Linked DNA regions of Pelodiscus sinensis. The main gene of each other region encodes a partner of the protein of the gene in region 2 in a complex. Links are inferred from orthologs where the notes say so. Each region holds a gene or a part of one and is shown on either strand. Other genes may lie near its edges.

Region 1 (11,055 bases), on a different chromosome or scaffold from region 2:
ACCCGGCAGCACTCCAGCTGCTCTGCTGCCGGCGCCCCCGATTCAGCTGCTGTTGAAACTGATCAGGGGCTGATTCCAGGAAGCCAGGGGCAGAGCAGCTCTGCCTCGGGCTTCCTGGAGTCAGCCGCTGGTCAGTTTCAGCAGCAGTTGACTTGGGGACACCTGGGGCAGAGCAGCTGGGGTGCTGCTGGGTTGGTCTCGCCACGCCAAGGGTCGGCGCTACCGGACCAACCCGACAGCACTCCAGCTGCTCTGCTGCCGGCGCCCCCGATTCAGCCGCTGCTGAAACTGACCAGTAGCACTGAATCAGGGACGCCTGGGGCAGAGCAGGACTATCGGAAGGGGGGGCTATGAGGGGTCTGGGGTGGCATCCCCCCCACCCTACCCCAGACCCGTCATAGCCCCCCCTTCCGATAGTCCGGCATATCTGATAATCCAGCGGCCCCTGGGTCCTAAAGGTGCCGGATTACCAGAAGTTTACTGTATTTTGCATGTGCTGTGAGTATCATTGTGGTACCCAGGGCTTCCAAAGTTGAGTAGCCCTGATTTATTCAATGTATTATAATGATTTCAATTATTCTTTCAACAGGAACCAAGTAGTGGCAGTGAGCTACCACTCCTATCACCAAAAGTAGACACCAGAGGAGCAAGAGAGATCTAGCCTGTCTCTCCCCAGCTTTAAAATCTATGAATAACAACTTCAAGAAATGGCAAGGTATCAGAGACCCTGCTGCTAAGCACATACCATCAGCAATACGCTGTATCACTAGAGTGTCACATGCCATCACTAGAGCATAACAATACCTACATCAGCCTCTGAATGAATGAATGTCAACAAGGCTGCACTCTTTACAGTACATCACCAACCTGCCCTACTGAAACTCTGGTTCTACAGCACCAACTCTACAGGCTCCTAATAAAGCTACAGGAAAAGAGCTCTGTTTGATATCGGTTTCAGAGACCGATAGCTTAGAAAGAGGATGGCAGCAATATACTCAAGCAGTGCTCTAATATGCTCCCACTGAAATCCATGATAGAAGAGTCCTCATTAAAATTAATGGGAGCAGACTGGCCCTCAACACTCTACAATAAATTTCAACTTTACTTAATTACAAGCTGTTTTCTGTAACAGCCACTATTGCACATTTTCCAAGATATTTAACATATGACAAGTGTGATACGTTAATGAAAAGCAATTTTATACTAAGGAAACCAGTCCATGACAACAAGTACAGCAAGACTGTGGAGACCTAAGCTCTCTTCCTTGCTCGGCCATTAACCTGCGAGCTGACCTAGAATAAGTCATTTCACCTCTGTGCCTCAGTTTTTCCCTTTTCCTCCCTCCATGGGTAAAATGAGAAGTGGCTCCTTACCTTATAAAGCAGGCAGATTTATGACTGGGATGCACTAAAAGTTAAATATTGGACAAATATGCACAGTTTGATTTCAGTGCCCTGAAACTCAATAGGGCCAATTTTCTTTGCAAAAATATCCTAGAGTAAATCTAGATTTTAGGTTTTCCCACCCAAAGTTACAAGGCAGGACTAGAGCTGGCTTTTAAAATGGAAGCCATTGGCAAACAACTCCAAAGGTTATTGACTCATCATAATGAGTTAAAACTACATAAATGACAGTTAAAATTGCCTAAGCAAAGCTACCTGTAATATCACCTTAGCAGTTCTTACATTCTCCCTCACATTGTCAATTGTGAAGCTCATATGCAAAGACTGACTAGTTTAAGAAGTGATAACCCTTGTTATTTCCCTTTCTATCAAGTCTCTTCAGCTCCATAACTGCCCTCTGCCTTCCTTTTGTGGCTTGACCACTACAACTTGCAAGCTAAACCAGGATCGACTGGTGGTCATGTTTCTCTGTCAACATTATATTAAAATATAGTTCCTACACTGATACTGTGGCAAGAGTGCTGTTAAACTTATTAATTAAAGGAGTGAGACTGAGCATGTAGGAATATTGGACAATCTTGAAAATAGAAAGGAGAATTTGTCCAGAGCACCAACCTTCCTCTTTCTCCATTACAGACTACTACTACAGTAGTTCACATATTGCTGTAAGAGATGGAAAGATAAACTCCTTTCCTTTCTCAACTCCTGTAACACTACGGCAAGGAGAAAAGATGTCATACTCACTTGGATCCCTTGCTGGGCAGGGCCTTGCTTGGGAGCAGCCAGAATCAGCTAAGAAATTACAACACATTAAGATAAACAAAATGAAACGGTTTACCTTAATTCGAGGCATGGTGACTGTGGGTGGCTTTGCTTCAGCTATGAAACTGTGGCATGTTCCTTTTTCCACGAGTTGTGTAGTGTAGGGCATGAACTGTTTACCTTTTGACCCAAACACAAAGTCATCTCTCAAAGCATCTATCAGCACAATGACAACTTTTTTGAAAAGAGGTGATGGAATCTTAGTCCAATTAGAAGTAACTCCTAAAATAAATGTAAACGTAAAATGGGTAAAGCATCACTGCAAGTTAAGGGCTCACAACAAAAGTGATCAGCATTTCACAAAATTCACACAGGACTTCTGCAACTGTTTTAATTGCCAGTGAAAGGAATTTAAAGTTAGAAGGTCAGTTGGAAATCAGACAGGACCATACTTCATACTTCCATAGTGCACGTGGATGGAATCTACATCTATTTCTATCCAGCCCTGGCTTGGGCAACAGAATTTTCATGAAACCAAAAGATTCAGCCCATGCACTCTTTAGTCTGACTGAGGTCCCAGTAACACACTTCATCAACTCTGACCTGCAGTGTTGCCATTAGTGAGGGGAAGTGCTAGATGTAGTGAACAGAAATTGGGTAAAATGGTTTGCGAGCCCTCTAGTGGCTACCATTCTTGTTTATGTTTTAGAAGCCAGCTTAATGGTTTGCATATACAGCTTCCTTGTTGTGTATATTTAGAAAATATAATTATTTGGAATCCCATTGTGCCTGTGCTTTTATTTATTTTGTTACGTAATAAACAAAAAAACTTGGACCAAGTAGGGCTTCAACTGAAACAAGTATTAATCATCTCAACCAGGGAAAGTGTACAAGAGTAGTGAAGATGCACAGAAGCAAACATTTGTGACAGCAGCCCCACTTCTGCCCGCTGTTGGGGAGCTAGCAGTCCAGGTCCACTCCTAAGGGCCACTGGGAGATGATAGGCCAGTCCTATTCCCTGGAATATAAGGAGGTTGGTGGGATATGATTGCGGTGGAGTGGCTGGACCAGAACAGATACTAGTGCCCAACATGGTCAGCTCGAGCTCGAGCTACCGTTGTTGCTACTTCTTGTCCAGCTAATGGGGAGACTTAGGGATGAGTCAAATTAAACTTTATGTTCTTTCTACTGCTAGTGCCTCAGTTCCTGCCAGGTTTATTCTCGCTCATGGATGATAAAACTAAAAGGACCCCAAACTTTTGGGCTGCTGGAGCTTGTTTTCTAGCTTCCAGCCCAAAGCAAACTTTTAAAGCCAAATTCTAACCACCTGTAAAAAGCTTTAATAATGGAATTGCAGTCAAGCTGTTAAATAAAACAGTATGAATGGAATTGTTATAATAAAAGAAGGAGGGGATGGCAGACCCAAGTGCCAAGTGACAGACAGTAGGGGTGTTAGCTATTGGTTAATTGAACAGTCCAGTAACCACATTAATTCCCAGCAGTTATGTGACTATTCTATAGCTCCCTGGGGCGGGCCAGCAGCCAGTGCACTCCGGCCCCACTACTAGGGAGTCACTTGGTCCCCCTGCGCTGCTGCCTCTGTATCACAAACAGCAGTGCAGGGTGCCAGGAGGGAGCCGGTCCAGGAGAGGAACCAGTTTAAAAACCAGCTCCCTGTGGGGGGAAGGGGCGCTTACCTGGGCCGGGAAGAGAAGGGGCGGGGCAGCACCCAGGTCGGGAGCATGGCAGTTACCTGGGGAGAGGGCGGGGCGATTACCCAAGCAAGGGGTGGGAGGAGGTGGGGTGGTTACCTGGGGGGGTAGGAGGAGTTACCTGGGTGGGGAAGGGGCGGGGCGAGGGAGGGAGGGGGCGGGGCGGTTACCCGGGCAGGGGGCGGGATGAGGGGGTTACCCGGGTGGGGGATGGGAGGAGGTGGAGCAGTTACCTGGCCCGGGCGTGGGGAGGGGGCGGGGCCGTTACCTGGGGAGGGGAGGGGGCGGGGCGGTTACCTGGGCCAGGCGGGGGGCGGGGCGGTTACCTGAGGAGGGGGCGGGGCGAGGGAGGGAGGGGGTTACCCGGGTGGGGGGATGGGAGGGGGCGGGGCCGTTACCCGGGTGGGGGGATGGGAGGGGGCGGGGCCGTTACCCGGGTGGGGGGATGGGAGGGGGGAGGGGGCGGGGCGGTTACCCGGGTGGGGGGGCGGGAGGGGGGGGGTGGGGCGGTTACCTGGGCCGGGCGGGGCGGGCTCGGCGGGCGGGGCGGGGCGCGCGGGGCGGCGCGCGCGCACGGGCGGCGGGAAGAAGCCGCGCAGGAAGAGCCCCACGCCCAGCGCCTGCAGCAGGAGGCAGCCGGCGGCGAAGAGCCCCGAGCGCAGCCGCATGCTCGGCTCCACGGCAGCCCCGGGCAGCGCCGCCCAGCCCGGCCGCCTCAGGTGCAGTGGGCGGGGCGCTCTCCTACGCCGCCCAATCAGCGGCCCCGGCTCTGCCCTGCCCGCCCGCCGATTGGCTCGTGACGAAGCAACCAGCAGCCTCCGCCCCCGGAACGCACCGAACCTCCGCGCCAGGCCGGCCCCAGAGAGGAAGAGTCGCGCCGCGAACTACAACTCCCAGAAGCCCTTTCACCCGCCGCCTGCCCTACGGCGCGCTCCAGGGACCAATCCGCGTTGTGCTCTGCTGCACGCGGCTGGTCCTTGCAGCCTCTGCGTGGGGGGTGCGCCAATGCCCTGGGTGTGAACACCGAGGTTAAGCATGCAAAGCCTGGGCCCGGGCTCAGGCCTGCAGGCCGCTCATGCACGTGCCCTGCAGGGCAGGCTTGGTGTGCACAGCCAGCGGGCCCCGCTCACCGTACCTATCGCAAGCAGGGAAGCGGGTTGCACGAAGCAAGCAGCAGGAAAGCTGGGCGAAGCCAAGCCCAGCCCAGCAGAAGGGATGCTACCCTCTAGCCCCCAGGAACAGGGCTGAGGCTCATTCATTGTGCCCACAACTGGCCTCTAACCCAGCATGGGCGTAGGAGAAAGAGGCTAAAAGAAATAGCCCGTAAGGAGCCTGGGAGCCTGTCACGCTGCACCCTCCCTTCAAGGTGTACTTCACACAACAGGAACTGACTAGTTTGACGTATGGTTCATGTGTGGGTAGTGCTGCCATGCACAGTTTTGGCAGTCCTCAAGCTACAACATGTCAGGGACTTATCGGTCTATCTACCTGTGTGCCATCGCACCCTCTGGCAGCAAGTTAGCCAGATATTCCTTCTTCCTTTTAATTGACAACATAGTACTGGAACTTGCCCATTTACACCTGACTTTATTTACACCAACATAGGGAGTAATATCACACCAAAGTCCTACAATGTGCATAGAACAGCTAGCAGCAGTCAGGCTAAGATGTCAGTGCAGCAAGATAATCTTTTTTGTAACCATTACTAAGATGACGTCCAGTAAGTGTCACAAACAAGACACAATCCAGTGCTAGTTACAGAGCAAAGAACTCAGGAGGATTTAAGTTCAAACCAAAGACTTGTCAGGCAATGAAAGTATGATCTGACAACCCACTTTGTCAAATGACAGGAGTGTAAAAAGTCACTTACAGCTTATAGAATCATAGAATAATAGGACTGGAAGGGACCTCAAGAGGTCATCGAGTCCAGCCCCCTGTCCTCAAGGCAGGACCAAGCTCCGTCTACACCATCCCTGACAGATGTCTATCTAACCTGTTCTTAAATATCTCCAGACAGGGAGATTCCACCACCTCCCTTGGCAATTTATTCCAATATTTGACCACCCTGACAGTTAGGAATTTTTTCCTAATGTCCAATCTAAGCCTCCCCTGCTGCACTTTAAGCCCATTACTCCTTGTCCTGTCCTCAGAAACCAAGAGGAACAAATTTTCTCCTTCCTCCTTGTGACACCCCTTTTAGATATTTGAAAACCGCTATCATGTCCCCCCTTAATCTTCTTTTTTCCAAACTAAACAAGCCCAGTTCATGAAGCCTGGCTTCATAGGTCATGTTCTCTAAACCTTTAATCATTCTTGTCGCTCTTCTCTGTACCCTTTCCAATTTCTCCACATCTTTCTTGAAATGTGGCGCCCAGAACTGGACACAGTACTCCAGCTGAGGCCTAACTAGTGCAGAGTAGAGTGGCAGAATGACTTCACGAGTTTTGCTTACAACACACCTTTTGATACAACCTAGAATCATATTTGCTTTTTTTGCAACAGCATCACACTGTTGACTCATATTCAACTTGTGGTCCGCTATGACCCCTAGATCCCTTTCTGCCATGCTCCTTCCTAGACAGTCACTTCCCATCTTGTATGTATGGAACTGATTGTTCCTTCCTAAGTGGAGCACTTTGCATTTCTCTTTATTAAACCTCATCCTGTTTACCTCTGACCATTTCTCTAACTTGCTAAGGTCATTTTGAATTATGTCCCTATCCTCCAAAGAGGTTGCAACCCCACCCAGTTTGGTGTCATCTGCAAACTTAATAAGCATACTCTCTATCCCAATATCTACATCATTGATGAAGATATTGAACAGTACGGGTCCCAAAACAGACCCTTGCGGCACTCCACTTGTTATCCCTTTCCAGCAGGATTTAGCACCGTTAACAACAACTCTCTGACTACGGTTATCCAGCCAATTATGCACCCACCTTATCGTGGCCCTATCTAAGTTATATTTGCCTAGTTTATCAATAAGAATATCATGCGAGACCGTATCAAATGCCTTACTAAAGTCTAGGTATATGACATCCACCGCTTCTCCCTTATCCACAAGGCTCGTTATCCTATCAAAGAAAGCTATCAGATTAGTTTATGCTTTCTTCCTCCCCTCCTTTCCCCCCTTTCTTTTTTTTCCTTCTTCCCGTCCCTCCTTCCTTCCCTTATTTATTCTTGGATCTGGACTTTTAACACTCCTGTCATCTGTGCCCACAAAAGCTCATGATACCATCTACATGTTTTGTTAGTTTTTAAACAACTACTAGTCTAGTAGCGCCTTAAGTTTTTCCTGTTACAGACTAACTCAGCTACTCCTCTGAAGTATGAACAAGAGAGCCTTCCTCTTCTGATACCCCAGGCCTATACTGTATCAGCAGAGTGACATGTATGAAATTATTCTCTTTGCAGTATATAGCCAATTACAGTACAACCCCCAAAAACCTGTTTCATCAGGTACCGTTTTTGTCATTTTTTCATTCTACACTCCCAGACAAATTGTGTGTGTGAAGTCTCTGCTGGTGGAAGCAAAGGCAGAGCATCAGAAAGGGTTATCTAAAGCAGTCCACTGAAGTGCGAATCTGTACTTCGTGCCACCGCAGTGGGAGTCTCAAAGGCTTTGTAGTGTTGGAGGTGAAAGATTAGGCACATGGGTTGTCTTTTTAAACCCCACTACAAAGGAGACACTTTGAATCCGACAAGTGAAGTCAGCAGCAGAATTGTACAGAAGCATTACCCACAAACAAGGGGGTGAGTTCCCCCTCCACCACCATATTCAGCTTCAGATACTAAGGCAAGTGGCCTTACATTAGTTAATTGCATCCTAGCTAAGCCCCTGCACTGCAATAAAAGCATAGCACATATTTGCCCCCATCATAGTGATCTTGTTCTTCTACTGGGGAACCTACAGCTTGGGGGCCGAATCCAGCCCCTGGCTTGCCTAGATCTGGCCCCTAAGACTTTGGGAACCCCCCCAGCATCAGGGAGGTGATGCTGGCACTCCAGCCCTGCACCCCCAAGAAGCTGCACCAGGTAAGCACCTCCCTCCTCATCACTCAGACCCTGCACCCCCACCCAGCTCCCGCACCCCTCCCACCCACCCTCTGCTCCTGCACCCAGCTCCCACACCCCAACTCTGCTCCTGCATCCTACTTCCCACCCAGCCCTCCTACCCCCAGCCCTCTCCAACATCCTACCACCCTCCCAGAACCACCAATCCCAACCCACTCCTCACTCTCCCTCCCGCTCAGACCCCAAACCCACTTCCCAGCAGCCCCCTCCCACATGCTGAAATTCTCATTTTTGGCCACACCCCAGAACCTAGGGGAGCCCACAAAATCTACTAGCCTGGGCCCCCAAAGCTCTGATGTGCAAGGGGCATGTGGGGAGTGTCTTTCTGCTTCTTAGTCTGGGGTATGTCAGTGGTGTTTTCCTTGCTTCTCACTTGAGAGACACCCCTGGCTCATTTTTCTGAGGGCCTGACTATTACCCCATGCTACTTATACAAGTGGGCACTAATGACCCTGCAGGGTGTGACACTGAGTGGCTCTAAAGTGACTGCAAGGCTCTGGGAGTACAGGTGAAGGAGTCTGGAGCACAGGTGGTATTCTCTCTGCTCCTTCCTGTCAAAGGTTGGAGTCCAGGCAGAGACAGGTGCATCCTGGAGGTGAACGCCTGGCTGCGAAGATGGTGTCGCCAGGAGGGCTTTGGCTTCCTCAACCATGGGAAGCTATTCCTAAAAGGGCTGCTAAGGAGGGATGAGGCTCATCTTTCAAGGAAGGGGAAGTCAGTATTTGGATGCAGACTGGCTTACCTAGTGAGGAGGGCTTTACACTAGGTTCGATGGGGGCAGGTGACCAAAGCCCACAGGTAAGTGAAGAACATGGGAGACCTGGGAGATGGGTCAGAATGGGAGGGAGCATGAGCTAGAATAGAGGAAAAAAAGGGACAAGGCAGAATGGGGAAGCAAGATCAAATCAGTATCTTAGATGCCTATAAACAAATACACGAAGTATGGGTAATGAGCAGGAAGAACTTGAAGTGCTAATAAATAAACACAACTATGACATCATTGGTATCACAGAGACTTGGTGGGATAATACACACGATTAGAATATCGGTATAGACGGGTACAGTTTACTCAGGAAGGATAGGCAGGGTAAACAGGGAGGTGGTGTTGCCGTACTGGCATAGAGAGTAAGCTTATTAAGCCTGCAGATGATACAAAGCTGAGAGGGGTTCCATGGACTCATCATGCTTTGGATGATAGGGTCCAAAATGAGCTGGACAAACTGGAGAAATGGTCTGAGGTAAATAGGATGAAGTTCAAGGACAAATGCAAAGTGCTCCACTTAGGAAGGAACAATCAGTTTCACACATACAGAATGGGAAGCGACTGTCTAGGAAGAAGTACTTCAGAAAGGGATCTAGAGATCATAGTGTACCACAAGCTAAATATGGACCAACAGTGTGATGCTGTTGCAAAAACACACACACACACACACACACACACACACACACAGGATTCCGGGATGCATTGACAGGAGTGTTCTGAGCAAGACACAAGAAGTCATTCTTCCGCTCTACTCTGCACTGATTAGGCCTCAGTTGCAGTATTGTGTCCAATTCTGGGCACCACATTTCATGAAAGTTGTGGAGAAATTGGAGAGGGTCGAGAGAAGAGCAACAAGAATGATTAAAGATCTAGAGAACATGACCTATGAAGGAAGACTGAACGAATTGGGCTTGTTTAGTTTGTAAAGGAAAAGGCTGAGAGAGGACATGACAGCAGTTTTCAGGTATCTAAAAGGGTGTCACAAGGAGGAGGGAGAAAAATTGTTCTCCTTGGCCTCTGAGGATAGGACGAGAAGCAATGGGCTTAAACTGCAGCAAGGGAGGTTTAGGTTGGACATTAGGAAAAAGTTCCTAACTGTCAGGGTGGTTAAACACTGGAATAAATTTCCTAGGAGGGATTGTGGAATCACCATCTCTGAAGATACTGAAGAGCAGTTTAGATCGATATCTATCAGGGATGGTCTAGATGGTACTGGATCCTGCCATGAGAGCAGGGGCCTGGACTCCCTCTCTCAAGGTCCCTTCTAGTTCTAATGTTCTATGTTTCTATGAAGTATTTCTAAGATATGCATGCGGAAAAGTGTATTTGTATCTTAACACAATCTCTTATAAAATCTGTTTTTAGGTATTCAGATTGAAAATCAAAATGAGGCTAGCACACATTAAATAGGCAACTTGTCTATAGGATTCTTAACTCTAGTATACACTTTGGAGATCATACTTTATATGTTCCAGCATTTCTGTTGGTCTGAACAGAAGGCACCACATAGGGCTGCAGGAATCCAGTTTCAAAATGGGGTCGTGATGGCAAAACGTTTGGGAATGACCGCTCCCCTTGTGACTATTGCTTCAGTGAAAGAGAACATACATGTGATAGTGCGATAGGTTGGGACTCCATGGCACCTCCTGCCGGTCACATTTGGGATTAGCTTGCCCCTGCACTGGAGCGCCCTCTTCTGGCTGTCTCTCACCCATTACCACCTGCCCTTTATATCGCCATCGCCCTGTCGGGGCCCATGTGCCTCCCAGGCCACAATGTCCTTCCCTTGTTGTTTTGAATTGGATCGCTCAGTCAAGTGGTGGGACTGGGGTAACTGTATTCTGTGGAGGGGAGGACCCCAGAATGTGGGCTCTGGGGAAGAGACCTACGACTGACAAAGGAGGCTCTGTCATCACCGTGAATAGGTCAGATTAACAACAGGAGGATGCCAGGCAACTCTCCAACACCACCTGCTACAGGCCTCCTCTGTCTGATCCCACTGAGGAAAACCAAAAGAAGTTACACCATCTGCTCAAACTCTCTGCAATAGCATGGGGCCAAATCAACATGGACCCACTCCTAAAGCCACAACCAGGAGTGTTCCATCTGCTCCCCAACATCCATAAACCTGGAAATCCCAGACATCCCATCAACTCACACACTGGACAGCAGGGTTGTCCGACTATGTGGACTCACTCCTCAGACCCTACGCTACCAGCACTCCGAGCTACCTTTGAGACACCACTGTCTTCCTGAGGAAATGATAGAGCATCAGTAACCTTCCTGAAAACACTAGCCTGGCCACCATGATTGTAGAAGCTCTCTAGACCAACATTCCACA
Region 2 (10,747 bases):
GTGTCATCTGGGAACTTGCTGAGGGTGCAATCCATTCCCTAATCTAGGTCATTAATGAACATGTTGAACAAAGCCAGCCTCAGAACTGACCCTTGGAGCACATCACTTGATACCAACGGCCCACTGAGCTGTTGATCACTAAACATTGAGTCCAACGATCTAGCCGGCTTTCTATTCACCTTACACTTATCCAATCCATAAATCTTTAACTTGCTGGCAAAAATACTGTGGGAGACCATATTAAAAGCTTTGCTAAAGTCAAGGTTTATCATGTCTACCACCTTCCTCATATCCACAGAGCCAGTTACCTCATCATAGAGAGCAATCAATTTAGCTAGGCATGACTTGCCTTTGCTGAATCCATGTTTATTGTTCCTAGTCACTTTCCTCTGTTCCAAGTGCTTCAAAATGGATTCCTTGAGGATCTCCTCCCTGATTATTCCAGGTACTGAATTGTGGCTAGCCCCAGATTCTCCTCCTTCCATTTTTAAAAGATGGGCACTACATTCGCCTTTTTCTGAAGTTATTACATTGGACTATGGTTGAAACTGATTATTATGCAAGCTTTTCTGTGTTTAGTATTTTAAAGCTATATCAATTTAAAAAATAAAATTCTACTTCAGTATGAAAATATGTTTTACTTACTGTGGTAATATTACAAGTAACAACTATGATACCTCTAACTGAGGATAAGAGAAAAATGTTCCTCAGTTTGTTCCTGTTCACCTTTGAAAATGCCTGATGTTGCATAATGCTTTTTTTGGAATGTATTTGACAAAGTACAATGGGGAATTAAAAATATTTTTTAACAGGGAAATGTGATAGTAATACAACAAAAACTAGCACTCGGACATCATAGTATATAAAGCTATATTTGACTCCATCAACTACATTTTAAAACTGACTAGATTTCAAGATGACAATGCTGCTCATGTATCTAACTTTCTAGAATCCTGTTATATACATTTTTAAATACACAATATTCTATAAATGTAGATGGTACTCAATTGTTACCTGTTTTTCTTTTGTATTATAGAAATTTTATGAGCAGTTTTAATTAAAGAAGCACCAACCAAAGTTGAGTGTTTCTATCTAAAACAAGTCACAAAGAAAACTTCAAACATTAGTTAAGTTTCAAGCATCATCTGAGTTTTTTTAGGTATTTTTTCCCCCACGTCACAAACTTTATAAAGGGGATTTTATTTTTCCCCCTTATCAAATAAATCAATGTCAAACCACACACTATATGTGAAAAACTACTCAATATATTTGGCTTGTCAAGCTATTTGATCATTAGTTCTTAGTAATAGTGGTCTATCCCCTCAACTCAGCAAATCAGGTGCAGAAGAAAGTTGGTGACAACCTGCCTTTGTGTTTCCCCATTCTGAACTCTCTGAGTATTGGTCTAAACTCCTATGGTAGTATTCATTTTATGAGTTTCATGTTCCCAATACTCCATCAGCAAAATGTAATATTATAGTGTCTTCTATAAAACTGAAGTGTCTATGGGGGGATGGCTTTGTTGTTCAAAAAAATCTTAACTAACCTTTCTCAATTAATTTTATTGTGCTTTACCTGCATTTAAATTTCCATGGGTTTACAGTTTTTCCTTGAATTACTTCTATGTATTAACATGTGTTAACTGCAGAGGAGACCAAACTTTTGAACATAATGCTGGCTTAGGCATGATCTTGCAGTGACATGTGTGCACGTAGACTTCTGCATTCAGAGTCTCACTGATTTCTGCGAGCGTGGAGCTTATCAGAGTAATGGTGGGCATCCCATGACCTGCATACATCCATTAAGGTTCTATGTGTGACCCACAAGACATTTTGTTTACTGTTACCCAGGTGCAGTGTTGCCACACTCTGGTTTCCATCTGCATAGCTTTTCCTATTGGTATTACTAAATGAGAAGTAAAGCAAAGGGTATGTGAAATGATGTGTGCGCTGACTGCTGACTGAACACAACACTGACTATGAGAATCATGCACTCCCTCCACAGCCAAAATACTGCTATGGTTCAATTAGCGTAACCCAAAAGTTTTATGCACACAAGAACAGCTAGCAAAGCTACCCTATCCCAGGAATGACAGTCTTGATTACGACAATTTTGCAGCCCATGTAAATGAAAGAGAGCCACTCATACTGTCTGCTCACTAGCATAGTTTGCTCATCACTGAATTGGAGGATGATGGTTTTAGGCTATAAGCCACCAGCTCTTGAAAAGACACTAAAGATATAATACAACCAGCACTCCTGGGTTTGCTGGAAATGTCAAAGGTAGAAAGAGACCAGTTGGAGTGGAATTGGCAGCATCAGGACTGTTAGATCCTTTCCCTGGCTCTGGGAGAAGAATGTGGTCCAGTAATGCTCCCCTCTGAAAAACTTCAATGGAAAAGAAAGTTTTAACACTGATAAAAATACTGGAAAACTCATTTCAAAAGGTAATACACACTTACTCCACTCATTTACAAAGGTGAAGATTTGACAACCATGCATTTGACTGTACTTTGTCCTTTTACTTTCCTAGTTGACTTCTTCAGGAAAAAGATAGTCAACCCTTCCTCAAAGCTATTAGCATTAAGTTAATTATACAAATTCTTACCTTGTGAGCAAGTGAAATTCTCTTAGAAGACGGATTTGGTTTAAGTATTATATACAATATTATATTTACAGTAGTTACACATATAGAACAGATGCACAGCCAGATAAGGTGTGTTCCCAAAACTGAGAAGTTCTCCAAAAAGAGAGGTGGAACAATAGTTGTTAAGATAATGGAAAATACACAAATGATGTGGGCAAACAGCAGTCTCTTTATTTCTGTATCTTTCATGGTGTTTTATCTTGAATAGTGCACCTACAATAAAGCAAATGACATTCCTGTAGTTAATTTCTGAAAAATTTAAGAGGGAGGGTAAACTTAAAAAAAAAAAAAAAAACGTTGAAAAAGATAAATTGTGTGCTACTTTAAAACAGAAAACCTAGGAGCAACCATGATGTTTCATTCCAATTTTTTTTTTTTCAGATATTGTACTGCATTTTGTGATTGGCAGTGAATTGTGATGTTTTCTGCTAAAACATCTGATTCACTGGCTTTGCTGATGTTTACATTCTCAGGCAGACACAGCCTATACCACAGGCTTTGTGCCATCAGGCAATTTGCAGAGGAGGAAAAAGGTTTGACCTTTGTGCAACATGCCTCAGTCTATGTCTAGACTGCAAGCTTCTTTTGGAAGTTTTTCCAGAAGAGATCTTCTGGAAAAGCTTATTTTGAAAGAGTGCATCCACACAGCAAAAGCACAATGAAAAAGTAATGTGCTTTTTCAAAACATAGCACCCACATTAATTGGATGCTATCTTGCATTTAAGTTGTGATTAATATGGACGGAGTGGCCACCAGGGCACCTGTGTTATTTCCTGGAAGCCTTTTCTTTCAAAAGAACTCCCTCTTCTACGTCTACACATGCATTTTTCTGGAAAAGCTTTTTTGGAAAAAAGCTTCTGCCTCATAGAAAGAGGTTTACCACTGTCAGAAAAGCCCCTCTGTTCTTTCAGCTTTCTGTCGAAAGAAAGTAAAAGCAGTGTGGACGTAAGTATTGTTTTTCCAGAAAAATGGCCATTTTTTCTGGAAAAACGCTGCAGTGTAGACATACCCTCCGATGGCCCGAACCAGGCTGCATCACCAAATGGTTCGCTGGGAGGATCATTGGGTACCCAGAGTGGCACTGATGGGAGTGGCGAGGTGAATGCTGCCCCACGTCCCCCTTGTGACCTGTGACATCGATGCCACAGGAGAAGAAGCCCAGCAAGTACTGGCAGGGGCAGAGGCTTGACTGCTCGGCTGGAAAACGCACCACAGCAAGGAAAGGCAGCGGGCGCTGCCCAGGATGGGATGCTGGGGAGCCCGAGGTGGGGCCGCGTCACGGGAGGGGAGGGGGAGCAGCAGAAAGCGGGGGGAGGAAGACAGTCAGCGGGGGGCGGGCAGCAGCCTGCTGGGAAGGAAGAGCACAGACCGTTTGTCTCTTACCCGAGTCCCTGTCAGCAGACAGTGGGCGGGACTACGCCGAACACGAGGTCAGAGGTCGCGCGGCTCTCGGGCCCCGGCGCTCAACTCCCTGCGTAGCAGGCGGCGCTGCGCGCCTTGCTCAAAGGAGAAGACACAAGGCATGAGAGTGACGGATGGTGGCGACCAGTCAGGCTGCGGGGGACGTACATTGAGCAGCCCCATAGGTTGGCTCCATAGGGAGGCGGGCGAGCGCGGAGGCCGGAAGAGGAAGGGACTGTCCGGAAGTGGCAGTTTGTTTTGGTCTGTCGAGCTGTTGGTGGTCTGCGGCTGCCCGGCGGCGGTTCCAGCTCAGCATGGTCTGCGAGAAGTGTGAGTCCTCGCGGGCGCCGGTCCCTCCCCGCCACTTCGGGCAGCGCCCCGCGCCTGGGCTCCGCCAAGCCGATGCGTGCCTGGAGTCCTCGCCCACCGCCTGAGCCGCGAGACCATCCCCCCTCCCCCCGCCGCAGCTGGGTGCCCAGCGGGGCAGGGGATCCTCTTTCCCCGCCCCCTACCATCTGCGCAAGGGGGGAGGTTGAAGTTCCATGATTATTCATAGAGCCATAGAGCTGGAAGAGACCTCAGAAGGTCAAGTCCGGCCCTTGCTCTAGGCAGGATCAATCCCAACTAAATCAACCCGGCCAGGGCTCTGTCAAGCCGAGACTTAAACACCTCTAGGGATGGAGACTCCACTACTTCCTTAGGTAACCCATTCCAGTGCTTCACCACCCTCCTAGTGAAACAGTTTTTCCTAATATCCAACCTGGACCTCTCCCACCCCAACTTGAGACCATTGCCCCTTGTTCTGCCATCTGTCACTACTGAGAACAGCCTCCCTCCATCTTCTTTGGAACCTCCCTTTAGGAAGTTGAAGGCTGCTATCAAATCCCCCCTCACTCTTCGCTTCTGCAGACTAAACAGACCCAAGTCCCTCAGCCTCTCCTCATAAGTCATATGCTCCAGCCCCCTAATCATTTTGGTTGCCATCCACTGGACCCTCTCCAATGCATCCACATCCTTTTTGTAGTGGGGGGGGGCCCAGAACTGGACACAGTACTCCAGATGCAGCCTCACCAAAGCCGAATAAAGGGGAATGATGACATCTCTGGATCTGCTGGCAATGTTCCTCTTAATGCAACCTAATATGCCATTAGCCTTTTTGTCAGTTAAACACTGTCTGACATCTCTCCTGAGTGCACCAATATGGAGCTCATGTGCAGCACATCTCCTCCGTATTGATGCACATAACATTCATTTTGCACAGGGATGATCTGAAGGCATGTTAAAGTGTGTGTAACTGCCTAACTGCTGAAAATTACACAGTTACACACAGGGCAGCTTTTAAGCTGGCTCCCATCAAGTATAGGCTCCCGCCTGCTGCCCCTGCATCTCTTCCCCCAGTCTCTGGCAACTCCATGCACAGTAGCCCTGAACCCTTGTGAAAGGATTTTTAGGCAGCTGTTTAGCTTAGAGGGAGCTCTGCCAGGATGGGGGCATGATGTATCTCCCTGTTCGGGCTGGGTCTCATCTACACACACACACACACACACACGTGTGTGTGCATGTGCACTCACTCATTCTCCTCCCTCTCACCCACAGCTGGGCGGTCATAACTGAGATGGGCATAGCTATTGGTAAACTGCCTGGGTTTGTGTGGGGTAGCTGTCAATATTCACATCACAGCTTCCTGGCTGCCCCTGCTCTTGTCTCATCTGTATCATTGCCTCTATCAATGAACTAGCATCTTTCACAGGGGATCTATAGGGTCTAAGCAGAGCCTGGCTTCTCATGTGGAGCTGCTAAGCACTGATTCCAGAAATATATATTTAATAACATTTGTATTAATAAGAACCATTTGCTTAGAGGCTTTAATGAAAACTAAGTCTAGTTTTCTTCCCCTGCTGTGTGTTCTGTTACAGGTGAGAAGAAACTTGGCACTGTGATTACACCTGACACATGGAAAGATGGAGCAAGAAATACTACAGGTGTTGCATTCAAAGACTAACTTAATTGAGGAAGACTTTAAGCTTTTATTATGCAAAGAACAATGCCAATAGATGAGCAGCTTCCCCATTTCTGTCCTTCACTTCAGATTCTTTCCTATGATAATTCAGTCTATTGGACTATAATTATTTTGCTCTTCTGTAGTGCAGTTTGTAGAGATGTAAAATTCCATTTAATTGGTTAACTGATTAAATGTTACATGTATCTAATTAATGGATTAAAGGGGGTGGGGGCATTCCCTCAGTCCTCTGCCACAAGCAGGTCACCACAGCCAGAGCAGTCCCCTACCCCCAGTGGGCAGGGAGCTGCTCCAACCCCCACCGGTTAACCTTTCGCATCCCTAGCAGTGTGTATTTCTACTATATCACAATACGAAATAATGAAATGTGGATTAGGTGGTCCTGTTATCCAAATTCAGGGTGCACTATATTCATTTTTCCACCCATTTGCTTTAGGCCACTCATCCTCAACATTTTATTTTCACCCACCATCAGGCTAATAATCCTGGTCATTATTTTATTTGGTCGTTCTGAGATATTAGATACTTTTTATTTTCTGTTGTACTGCTACATATTTAGCAGCTAAATGGACTAGGAATACCAAACTGATAAACAGTAGGTTAACAATGCGGTATTGGTTAGGAATGTTAAAATGTGTGTAATTAAGGGTACATCTAGACTACAGACTTTTGTCGACAGAAGTTTTGTCGACAGATACTGTCGACAAAGCTTCTGTCGACAAAGATCGTCTAGACTACATCCAGTTCTGTTGACAAGCAAGCCGCTTTGTCAACATGACAGTGTAGACGCAAAGGACAGTGTAGATGCAGAACTCTGTCGACAAAAGGCGTTATTCCTCGTAGAATGAGGTTTACAGCCGTCGACAAAACTGGTGAGTTCTGTCGACATTATGTCGACAGAACTCAGCGGCAGTGTAGACGCAGGTATAGTTTTGTTGACAAAAGTCCGCTTTTGTCAACAAAACCCTGTAGTCTAGACACACCCTTAGTAACCACATAAAGTCCTAAAAATTTCAGTGGTTACATGTGGGATGGCTGATGGCTCCCCATGTGTGCCATCTCTCATCTACCACCCTGTGCTGCTGCCTCTGTATCAGAGGTAGTAACACAGGGTGGCAGGCAGCTCCCTGGGAACCAGCCATACCCAGAGCCTACATGTAACCATGAACATTATCCGATGAGAATGGGCTCATCAGTTTACCATTTACGTGGTTTCCCTTTCACATCCTTCGTATTAGTTCGTAATTAAATATGACAGCTTACCCTTTTGGGGGAGGAGGAAAGAGAAGAAAGAACTTCCTGATGGTGAAGGCACAGAACTGGAGTCAGAACACTTAGGTGTTTCTAGCACTGCAACAAAGTTTCTGTCTAATATTGGCCTAGTAACTAAGGCCCCTGGTGTGCAATGAATTCTGTACAGTGCAGTAGTCTACCAACCTACAGCTTTACATGTCAATTCTTTCAAGTCAGGAAAAAGAAACGGACATTTCCCATTTTTTCCTACCTTGACCAATACCAGTATTGAATCTTATTTCTATTTTACATTTAATTTATATATTAAGACCAAAATTCTGGAGATTCTGGAAATGTACAAAATACTGAATATGAATTCTCTAAGAGTTTTATGTTTCCATACACTGTCTCCTGGCAGGCTGATTGAACTTAGTCTTACATTAGTCACAGCTGCTTATGTTCCGTAGATAACTTTTCATTGTTTATAATATATTGCATTTCTGCTATTTAGTGCATATTATATTAGTAATAATATGAGAACGTGGTATGTTCTATTGGATTGTTAAGACCTATAATGTTCCTGGGCTCTTATTTTGAATGAACTTTTTTACTCCTTATTTGATCAAGTCTGGGAGGGGAATATGGGTGTGTGTTTTTTTCTTTAATTTGTTAAATGAGCTTTTTACAAATGACTTTGATTTTAGTCAGTACATTGGTATATCTTTCCTCTATAAAGAAAGTGGCGGACGAAAATTAAATGAAAATAAGGCACTGACTTCAAAGAAAGCAAGGTTGGTATTGCGATTTTTATCTTAATTAAAAATAAAGATCTTATAAATTTTGTACTGGAGCCAAAACTTGTTTCGTGTATTGCTGAGTGCTTTCTAAAACTGGTATACAATTTTCATTTTATTTGTCTTGACAGAATGCAAGCTATTAGAGGCAAGGACCATCCAGTGTTATGACTTTATAAATATTTGTATACAAATGTGCGCATCTTCAGACTTGTAGGCTACGTCTACACTGGCCCCATAAAACGGAAGAGGCATGCAAAGCAGGTAAGTCAGAATAGGGAAATCCGCGGGGGATTTAAATATCCCCCGCGGATTTAAATAAACATGTTCGCCGCTTTTTTTCCGGCTTGGGGAAAAGCCGGAAAAAAGCGTCTAGACTGGCGCGATCCTCCGGAATAAAGCCCTTTTCCGGAGGACCTCTTATTCCTACCTGAAAGTAGGAATACCTGAAAGTACGAATAAGAGATCCTCCGGAAAAGGGCTTTATTCCGGAGGATCGCGCCAGTCTAGACGCTTTTTTCCGGCTTTTCCCCAAGCCGGAAAAAAGCGGCAGACATGTTTATTTAAATCCGCGGGGGATATTTAAATCCCCCACGGATTTCCCTATTCTGACTTACCTGCTTTGCATGCCTCTTCCGTTTTATGGGGCCAGTGTAGACGTAGCCGTATTGTTTTGTGCTAGGGAGAAAACAATATACAACTGGCCAAACTGCAATGCTTCAGTCCTTCCTAAACTTTTATGTATCTGTATAGTCAGGGGTCACCAAGTGGCGGCGAGCCCTGCTTGCCAGCCGCATGGAAGCGCGCACTGCGCATGCACACACCGCGCTGTGTATGCGCTGACCGTGCTGCGCAGCCCCGCCGGCTTAAAATAATTTGTCGAGCCCTGTGCATAGTTGACTTTTAGATTTGAAGAGGAAGTGTTGGACATGGTTTAAGAGTTGGGAGATGTGAGTTCTTTTATTGCCTCTGACAAAACTTCCTGTGAGACCTAGAGTGACTGAGAAACGTCTAAGTATCTGTTTGTCCCCTTATAAAATAGCATGATAATTGTTGACCTCATAGGTGTGTTGAGGATTAATTCACTTTTTGCAAAGTGCTTAGTGACCATAAGTGCAAAATATTCTATTATTGATAGTTTACAAATAAAGACTTCTTAAAGTAAAAACTTGATAAAAATATATCAGCTTTGTCTACACATTGCAGGTGTGCCGTGGGCCATATTATTAGTTTCCATATGTGGTCTTAGGAGTCTTTGAATATCTCTCTTGTAGACTGCAGACTCTCTACATTCTCTGTTCATAATCACTCTAAGTTCAATGATTTTTCAGTCCTAGTGATGAGACAAATAGTATTTTCTCCCTATGGCTTTTACATGTCATTTAATGTTGGACTATTTAATTTTTTTTATCTGAGGTTTGATCCTTACGGGAAGAACAAATTTGCAATATGCCGGATTTGTAAGAGTTCGGTTCATCAGCCAGGGTCTCACTACTGCCAGGGATGTGCTTATAAAAAAGGTGAGATTTGTGTAGCATAAGTTTTACCCATCTTGAATTTAGTGCACAAATGGAACTCCACTTGTTTTAATTTTAGGCATCAAAAATAGAACTGAAGAATAATTCAAACTTACCTTGCTAAGAAAAGTGTTATTGAAATTAAAGGTTGCTGTTGCTGAGCATTCTTACTATATAACATCAGGTAACTGTGTGAAATTCATTTATAGATTCAGAGATTCCAGGCTAAGAAGGGCCATAATGATCATCTAGTACAGTGGTGCTCAACCATTTTTTTTCATTCACGACCCCCAGAGTGCACCGCTGATATCTCGTATTAGGCAGGCTATAAACTTCCATTCCAGAATTCCTAAAGCATATATATAGTCTTAATTTAAAATTCCCATTGATGATGGTGAATCCACCATGGCCATTGTTCAAGTGTGTACCAATGATTAAATAACTTTGCTGTTAGAAACATACACCTTATTTGCAGTCTGAGTTTGTCCAGTATAAATTTCCATCCATTAGATCTCGTCATGCCTTTGCTGCAGATTTCCCATATAGTCTCAAATATTACTTTGTATTTAATAATCTCACTCCAAAATAAGTTCTCTTTAGACATCTGTACCATACAAGCTTCACATTCTTCTACAAATAAATTTCACAAGCCAACTACAAAGAGAGTGTGGAATTGACCTTCATATGCAAATGAAACACTGTTTCCCTTGGCTTGAACAATGACATGAACTGAATGGCCCATTATAAAACCAGCTTCCCTTACATTTAACATTTCATTGACATCAAAAGCTAAGTATGGGACACTTCCAGCCCACTCAATTAGTCTCATTAGCACTGGCACTTCCCCATTTGTACAATTGACAGGTACATCCCCGTTTCTGTTAGAATTCTGAGGTCCGTCCCCCCTTTTTCTTCTCTACCCAAGCTCATCTGAAGAAGTGGGTTTGCCCATGGAAGCTCATGATACTGTATATATTTTTGTTAGTCTTGTAGCATCTTGGAGACTACAACTACAGGCAGTCCCCGGGTTACGTACGAGATAGGGACTGTAGGTTTGTTCTTAAGTTGAATTTGTATGTAAGTTGGAACTGGTACATATTGTAGGGGAAACTCTAGCCAAACATTTCTCCAGAGCT

Evidence for each region. The genes of interacting proteins can lie anywhere in the genome.
Region 1: PIGF (region 2) and PIGG share a complex: the UniProt entries of both Homo sapiens proteins name them as parts of the ethanolamine phosphate transferase 2 complex. The link is inferred for Pelodiscus sinensis from reciprocal best matches to the Homo sapiens genes PIGF and PIGG.

What each region holds. Positions count from the first base shown.
Region 1 is NC_134716.1:3,107,414-3,118,468, reverse strand, and holds the start of PIGG (GPI ethanolamine phosphate transferase 2, catalytic subunit), read right to left. Parts: upstream 4,653-11,055; 5' UTR 4,546-4,652; coding exon 4,392-4,545; intron 2,448-4,391; coding exon 2,242-2,447; intron 1-2,241.
Region 2 is NC_134713.1:164,107,737-164,118,483, reverse strand, and holds the start of PIGF (GPI ethanolamine phosphate transferase, stabilizing subunit), read right to left. Parts: upstream 4,167-10,747; 5' UTR 4,030-4,166; intron 2,860-4,029; 5' UTR 2,836-2,859; coding exon 2,608-2,835; intron 1-2,607. Other genes in the region: CRIPT (cysteine-rich PDZ-binding protein), read left to right, coding at 4,362-4,377, 5,964-6,029, 8,037-8,091, 9,511-9,614.